Daphnia pulex: one gene and its partner. The protein of the gene in region 2 purifies or fractionates together with the protein of the main gene of each other region. This does not show direct contact. Links are inferred from orthologs where the notes say so. Each region holds a gene or a part of one and is shown on either strand. Other genes may lie near its edges.

Evidence for each region. Proteins that work in one complex are often made in the same cells at the same time.
Region 1: the proteins of synaptojanin-1-like (region 2) and endophilin-A-like purify together in Drosophila melanogaster (affinity purification with western blotting; 3 studies listed by BioGRID). This does not show direct contact. The link is inferred for Daphnia pulex from reciprocal best matches to the Drosophila melanogaster genes Synj and EndoA.

What each region holds. Positions count from the first base shown.
Region 1 is NC_060027.1:5,385,568-5,389,668, forward strand, and holds the start of endophilin-A-like, read right to left. Parts: upstream 2,801-4,101; 5' UTR 2,645-2,800; exon of another isoform or gene 2,442-2,644; intron 1,782-2,441; exon of another isoform or gene 1,608-1,781; intron 1,152-1,607; 5' UTR 1,056-1,151; coding exon 1,011-1,055; intron 543-1,010; coding exon 474-542; intron 384-473; coding exon 281-383; intron 220-280; coding exon 103-219; intron 1-102. UniProt on the Drosophila melanogaster protein: Required presynaptically at the neuromuscular junction. Implicated in synaptic vesicle endocytosis.
Region 2 is NC_060023.1:5,749,180-5,753,257, reverse strand, and holds the start of synaptojanin-1-like, read left to right. Parts: upstream 1-1,278; 5' UTR 1,279-1,447; coding exon 1,448-1,574; intron 1,575-1,640; coding exon 1,641-1,727; intron 1,728-1,796; coding exon 1,797-2,073; intron 2,074-2,162; coding exon 2,163-2,864; intron 2,865-2,934; coding exon 2,935-3,100; intron 3,101-3,190; coding exon 3,191-3,241; intron 3,242-3,338; coding exon 3,339-3,365; intron 3,366-3,428; coding exon 3,429-3,706; intron 3,707-4,028; coding exon 4,029-4,078.

The DNA of each region.
Region 1 (4,101 bases), on a different chromosome or scaffold from region 2:
GAAACCCGGAGACTATCGATCGGTTTCCTCTTTAGCGACACAGCCAATCGATAATATCCGATGAACAATTGAATGAACAAAAATAGAAATGTGTTCACGCACCGAAAACGGATTCTTCGCCTAGTTTGCGTCCATATGCCGACATGGTCTCCCCTAGGGTTCCCTCCGGCTGTGGGTAGGTGGCAGCTTTGGCTTGACCACTTAGTTTGCTTATTCCTGCTGGTCAACGATCTTGACATTAGTACGAAACGGCATGGCTTGTTAAATCATTAAGAATTACCTTTGACTGCGGCCATCTTAGCCCGGGCAGTAGGATTGGGCTGCAAAAACTCTTTCGTCTTCATTTGGAGCTCCTCCACTAGTTCATAAGTAACATCAGTTTTCTGTGTGTCGAGAAAAGTCAAAGTGAAAACAAAACAAAAGTTAAACGTTAACACTATCGTCCAAAAAATGAAACATTCAATCATCATTACCCTCTCCATTTCGACGAAGTCATCGTCCATTTTGGTGCCTTCTGCGGCACCCATCTTCTCCGTGACATACTATTCAATTGACAAGGAAAATTAGAGCAAAAATGGTAGATAACATGAGACGACAAAATCAAAATTACAAGAAAACGAACGGAGGTGTGGGCACATGCAATTTCGTCATGTCGGATTTAATAGGAGGAATCAAAACTTGTAAGTCATAGAACAAGACCGCCCATGCATTATTCTCTTGTCCAGCGTTGTTTTCAATCGGTTTTCTTGCAACCACTCAACCTCCCACTATTTGAACCGACTGCGTCAAACCGATATCTTCTTCACGGTCTGTGAATCTCAAATTCATTCAGCTCTACGATTTTAAATCCAATCTCAAGTCCAGCCTCAAACAAAAAGTTTCCGACATGAGAAGAAGGCGACCCAAAAGGAATAAGGAGTGGGGAGTAGGAGAAACCACGGATCGATGAAGAAAAAGAACATGGAGAGCGCGGGGGTGTGTAAAATCAATACAGTATACACAGAACATACTTGGTTGGCTTTATTGATCTGTTTCTTGAGACCGGCGAACGCCATGATGCTTTCGGTTTTGGGGTTGGCCTTTCTGGATTCCTCCTTTTAGATTCCAACTGAATGAAGCACTACTGACGTGTCCCAGTATTTGGCATCCACCTGCTCATCAGAATAACAAAATGGAAATCACGGTGAACAATAAGAAATCACTAGACACAATTTTCTAGAATTAAGTTCATTGGTATAAACTTGTTTTCAAATCGAGCGCCATTTTTATTGATTTTTCCAGACACGCTTAAGAATCGATAGCTAGACACAAATTCGATTATCGTTCACCATCTGGGCTGAAGGGAAGAAAAACTGACTTTCAGCTCGATGGCAGTAGTATGCATCAGCAAAGTTATTGATTGATACTGGCACAGACGTACCCCTAACCCTTACCCCCCGCTACCTCGGCACACAAACAGAGCAGTGGGAGTCGTCGATAGCGTTTACCCACACACTCGCCACCGTGAACATATCGACGCAGTTGTTTTCTTTTTTGTTTGTTTTATCGACAACGAATATAAGAGTTACTGCTAAAACGAAAGTAACAAATATGAACCGAATAAGTACCGCTAGGAAGTGGAACAGGCCAGCCGACGTAACGGATCTTGAGTACCGGTCGAACGAGAAGAGTAGCCGTTGCCAAAATGACAATTGGAAACGAAAGAACATGACGAGGCGCACGCGCCCGACGCGATTGCAATTGCAAACTTGAACCTATCTCTCCATTACGAGTTTCATCGACTGTCTGATTCTCCGGTTGTTAACGACGGCAATCGGGCATGGTCAACATCTTTTGTTTTTCTTTTTACCCCCCAACGAATAGCAGACGGAAAGAAAAAGGAAAGCAAAAGTGAAATACACGGGGCGTTTTACTTTTGCTTGTATGGAGGAGAATTCTTCCGATTTTTTTATCATTTCCATCCAGAGAAAGAGAGTGGGAGGGAAATGTAGAATTTGTTATTTCTAGTTCCAAATATGGAATCCAACCACGGCCTTTCGATAACAAATATCGACCTTCTTCTTCTTGTGTATCTCTTTTGAATTTGGTTTGGGCAGGGATAGAGAGACTTGACCGTTATGGAATGAGGTGGGACGAGCGAAACAGTAGACGTATACGTAAGATACCCATAAAAGGCTTTCAGAAAAGAAGAAAAGAAAGTCAATGTGGTGGATGCTAGTAGTGTGGGTGAACAAGTCCCCCCGGAGAACGGCCGTTTTGAACCATTATACGAGAGAGAGAGAGCCATCTCTCATCTGTGTCTTTGTAGGGCGCGCGTCAACACTACCACTACTACTATACAACGGCACTTATGTATTCGCTGCTACGATATGACTAATCAATATTGCCCGTCTGGGCACCGATAAGAATCTAGACCCGATAAAATAACTTGGTTTGCTAACCTATTTGGAGAATTTGGGTACGATCTGACATCAGTGCGACGACTATATATAATCAAGTGGAATAAAAACAGATGGAGTGACTAAATCTTGATCCACCTGCAAATTGTCTGCATGCTAAAAGCCCAAGGCAAGAAATACCCAACGAGACAACAAGCAGACCTTGTCGTTATTTCATGAGACAACAATAAAACGGTCACACTTACTTGACTGTTGTTGTCTCGTTTACTTTAACTGGATCGAAGTATGATGGCACCGAATATTCACACTTTTTTCCCCAATCGAATGTCGAAGACCACAAGCGGGACTATTTCAGCACCGTCGACCGCTGCTTGACTGCAACTGCTGACGGCAAGGAGGAGTGGGTGGGGGGGAGGAGTCTGGCTGGCATACCGCGTTGCCAAATCGTGATAAGATTATTTTCGTAAGAGTCGGCGGAACACGGAGAATAAGACATGGAGGACGCGCTCACATCCCTTCTCACATGGAAAAATGTTACACTCGCTCGGTAAAAAGGGCGTCAACAATTGCTCACAGAGAAATTCTATTGGCTGTCGTTTAGATTTGCGTTCGGGCGTAGCGTGGGAAGGAAACCGCCGACACGAATTGAATCTGAGCACTTGCTAACGCCCATTTTCCACTTGGTCGAGACATGTTTCTGTACTCTTTCTCTCTTTGTCTGTGGTTCTAGACCCACGATCGATAATGCAGCAAGGCTCTGCAACTTGCATTCGTTTTTTTTTCTTGGAAAATAGCGGCGACTTGAGTGAAACTACTCTGCTTTAGAGTTTAGCCGTTTTCGATTTGGAACTCAATAAGCTAAAAGCGGCTGGAAGTGTTGGGGACAATTCTTTGGAAAAATACACAACTTAGTCTCACTTAAGCCGAGTAAACTGTTTCTTTTTATGTAATGGCAGCAATATTTTCAGCAATAGACGTGATCTAGCGACAACAATAAATTACAACTGTCACAAAACTAAATAGGCACCAAAATTAGCAGTCTCTAATTGGTAAGAAAATCGATAAGACCATTACAACTGAGAAGACTATAAGGGAGAAAACAATTTAATTGAATCCCTCCCACCCGGCTCGGCTTTGTAATCTGGATTTCAATATTTTAAAAACCACGGTAACTTTATTCGTTCGTTGTGTCAATCAACAAGGATGATTAATTTGAGTTTCAATTATTCTTACAGAACTCTTTATGAAACAACTGAATCAAAATGAGTATGGAATTATTAAATCGCTATAGATAAAATAGTGTAGATAAAATATTATTCATCTTTAACTTTAGACAAATGTTATCGATTTTAGATTTTTTAAAAATCGAATGATATCGCTGGCAAACGAATGTGAAATTTGTTTGACTATTTTCTTAAGGAGACTGAAAAAGGAGGGTATCTAGCGACAAAAATTGAAACTCCGTTGCACGGAGCCAATGAAAAAAACAGAACAATTTTTAAACAGAATCCTAAACTAAATGGTTACATAATAAAAAAAAATACTCATCAATGCAATAACAAACAAAAATTAAACTATTATTTAACAAATAATTTTTTTCTTTTTATTACAGCTTCTTGGCTTTATTTCTTATTTCTCGTCTTATGTCCTAATTCATTATAAATAATTACCACGTTTGATTAATAATTCACTGATGCTTCTT
Region 2 (4,078 bases):
TAGATGACAGACATTGATCAAATTCTAAAGATTTTTAAAGATCAGATAGAAGTTGCAGAGCGACTCAGTCGTTTGAGGGTACAGAACCCAAAGCCGGTACAAATTCCACAACTAGTCAAAGCAGCAACAACACCCAAAGGCAGCTCGGAGTAAGCAGTAAGCCGACTACCCAATCCAAATCTCTTAACAGACCCAGGAAAAACAAGGCGCCACCTCCAAGGAGAGAAGCAGCAGCTCCAACCCCAAAAAAACAAACGCTGCCCTGCGTTTTCTGCATGTAAACTGCACAATGGAGCTGGAGGAAAAGAAGACGATCATCACAAACCAAAAAAGATGTTCAAACTGCTTTGGTCTCCACAAAAAAATTGACTGCTTGAATCCCCACCGCCGGTGCACCGCCGGTGCAGGAGCCAGCGATGTGGAGCAAAACACCACCTTATCTGTATTTGGCCTTTAGGCAAAAGAGGGTTGTAGGCAGCATGAAAACGGTGATTTGGATTAAGGTCTTCTGCAATTTCACCACATTAAAAGAACCGCCCTCCAAAAATTGCGTGGGGTCCGTTTTAAAGTGGGGGGAGCTTATCTCAACTTAGATAAGATATTCTACGTGGGGAAATTATAATTTTGATAATAAAATAAACATACTGTGAGAATCAGCGTGAAAAACTGATTCGAATCATATTAATTTCCACCCGATCCCTTATTCATGCAAAGACCTCGTTTTTTCGTTTATATTTGAGTAAGTTTTGTAAATGTAAACATATACCATATATATAACCCCCTTACCCTCTCCCAGGGATGTGCGTAATTCCCCCGCTCGACCCCCTACCCCACCCCCCCTTTAGGCCGGCTTGGGCAGCGCGTCAGCCCCGTAAAACTCAAAACTTTAAAACATGTTTTACGGGCACTGGCATTCACGCTCATTTGCACACCCCAACCCCACCAAGGTGGTTTTTTTGTACGAATTTTTTTACGAATACGAATTAGAAATTTGGATCATTGAACATAGTTTTGGGGAAAAATTTGCTTTCTGATTTTGATTTATAAAAATGTGATTTAAAATCGAAAAATCACCAAAAAAATCATAAAAGACAAAATGATTTAAGATCAAAATCAAAATCACCCAAAAGTTGATTTAAATCGCGATTTAATCATTTCCAATTTAAATTCCCAATTGATCTTCCGAACACTGCAGCATGGGGGCGCGGCGAGCGCTTTCATCATATTTTCGTTCCTAGTTTGATAGCTAGTTTCCTATCCTCTATGATTCAGCACATTGCACAGCTGATCCCGACTGTGCTACTTTGACATTCTGATTTTTGTCTTTTTGACAGACGAATGTGCGAGAACGAGCCGAGCGTATCAATTCCATTCTAAGTCACGTAAAAGCTAATGTGAGCGCACATTTTATTTTTAAAAGTTGTATTGTTAAAGTGAGCCATCAAAAATGGCTATGGGAAAAAGTTATAAAATATGGCATAAAGTCAATGGACAGGGACCGTACAGTGTTTTACTCGAACAACGAAACCGAGACGAAGCTCTCTTATTTGAATCTCTAGTAATTGCTGCCTTGGGTAATCGAAGCAAAGTTCTTTTTATTCTCACATACAAATAACCAAAATGTATACCATTTTAACTAGGATCTGCTGAGGTTGAAGTTGTGAAAAAATCATACACAAAACTCTCTGATGCTTATGGATGCCTTGGAGTACTGTTAGTCAGTACAGGTTTGTTAAATAATTTAAGTTTTTCATATTTTTAGAATCTAATTTAAGTTTTTTTATATTGGGTTGTAGGAGATGGACCCTTACAATATCTAGTCATGGTTACAGGTTGTGTGTCAGTTGGAAAGATTGGGGAGTCAGAAGTGTTTAGAATCAATCAAACAAGTTTTTTTCCACTGAGGGGACCCCAAACAGTGGAAGAAGAGAGAGTCACTGAACTGAGGAAACTATTCAACTCTGGCACATTTTATTTTCTCTGGTCATCAAGTGAAGACTCGATTGATGCTACATTATGTACTCAGAAGCTCCAACAGAATCCTGGGACAGACAACAGATTTTTCTGGAATAGGTTTGCAATTACAAACAAAATAGACCAGATTTTTATATAAGTAAGGAAGTGTTGTGGGTTAAGTCTTAACTTAATTTTTAATTTTTTAGGCTGTTGCATCTACCATTGCAACATTATGGAATTGACTGTTCCCACTGGCTTCTACGGATAACATGTGGCAGCGTTGAAATTCGCACTGTTTATGCAGGACATCGTCAGTTCAAAGCAGCAATTTTTTCTCGTCTTAGCTGTGAACGGGCTGGTACGCGATTTAATGTACGCGGCGTTAACGACGAAGGCCATGTAGCTAATTTCGTTGAAACGGAGCAACTCATATATGGTGACCAAGGAGATGCTTCAGCTTTTCTTCAAACTCGTGGATCTGTCCCCCTCTTCTGGGAACAGCCAGGTGTTCAAGTAGGCTCGCATAAAGTCAGATTTTCTCGTGGCCCTGAAGCTTCTTCGCCAGCTTTGGAACGCCACTTGAAACTAATGCAGCAAAGATATCATGACACAGCTATTGTAAATCTACTCGGTCTCAACATGGTGGGTGCGAAAGAAGGCGAGGCTTCTCTTAGTCAACTCTTCCAGGCTGATCAGAAGCGCTACTACGAAGCAATGCCTCACATAATGTTCGACTACCACCAAGAATGTAAAGGTGGTAATCTCCAAAATCTCAGCAAATTGAAACAAAGTCTGAAGCCGATCCTAGATCGCCATTCCTTCTTCCTACTCAAGAATCAGCGAGTAGTTTCACAGCAAAAAGGAGTTGTTCGTACCAACTGTCTTGACTGCCTTGACCGAACTAATTGGTATGATTAATTATTTAGGTTGTTTTTGTGGATTGGTGACTTATAGTTGCATATTTTGTTACCAAAAAAGTGTGCAGACATTCATCGGTTTAGAGATGTTAGCACTACAATTGGAGGCGCTAGAACCCCAGACGAAACCACAGACGTGGACAAGGTTTGAGGAAGTTTTCCGGGCGATGTGGGTTAACAATGGAAATGAAATCAGCAAAATCTACGCTGGAACTGGCGCTATACAAGTGATTGATTTTATTAAAAATTTTATTTTGAGCTGTTTTTTTTTTTCTTTCTTTTTTTCTGAATTAATTAAGAACGTGTTTTTCTAATAGGGTGGATCAAAGATAATGGATGGCGCGCGTTCGGCTGCTCGTACTATTCAAGTAGGCTATGCGTAACCTATGCCCGGTGTTTTATTTCCACTTAATGTATAATTTGAAAGGTTAAAATAACATTTATATTTTTTTTATTTTTTTTAAGAATAATTTATTGGACAGTAGTAAACAGGTAAAATTCGAAATTAAATCGTAAGCTTGAAATTGGAAATATAACTCGGTCCTTTTAAAATAGGAAGCATTCGATTTGCTGATCCATGGAGGTACGGGGAATGATTTCATCTTTGACCTGGCTCGCAGTCTTTTACCACCGCACTGGAGTGTCCTGCCTGCCGATATATTGCATGGCATGTGTTCTCGCTATTCTGAATTCACGGAGCCGCAACCTATTCGCGTGGCAGTTGGAACATACAACGTCAATGGTGGTCATCATTTCCGTAGTGTCGTTTACAAAGACTCTACATTGGCCGACTGGTTGCTTGATAGTCCACATCAAGATTCAGCTGCCGCTAGGTAAAACTTACTCCTTAATTTACTGAAAAGCCAACTGTAATTTTCTCCCATTTTTACTTACCCTTTAAAAAAATTTATTTCGTGGAATTGGGATGGGTGAGTTAACTAATATATGTTAGCATGATTAGAGCATCCCAATTTGGAAATGATTGGAGCATGTGTAATTGTCTATTTTCCTTTAGATTCTAGTTAACGGATTTTCTTTAAATTCTTTTGACTTGTTTATTTTATTTTATTTTTATTTTATTTTTTTTGTTTCTTCGCTTTTCCTTGCGTCCAAGTCCGTTATTAATGGCAATTTTTGTGGTATTTTGGTGAATAGATCATTGGTGTGTCTAAGCGAGGAACAAGGTTGGCGAACAGCGGACATCT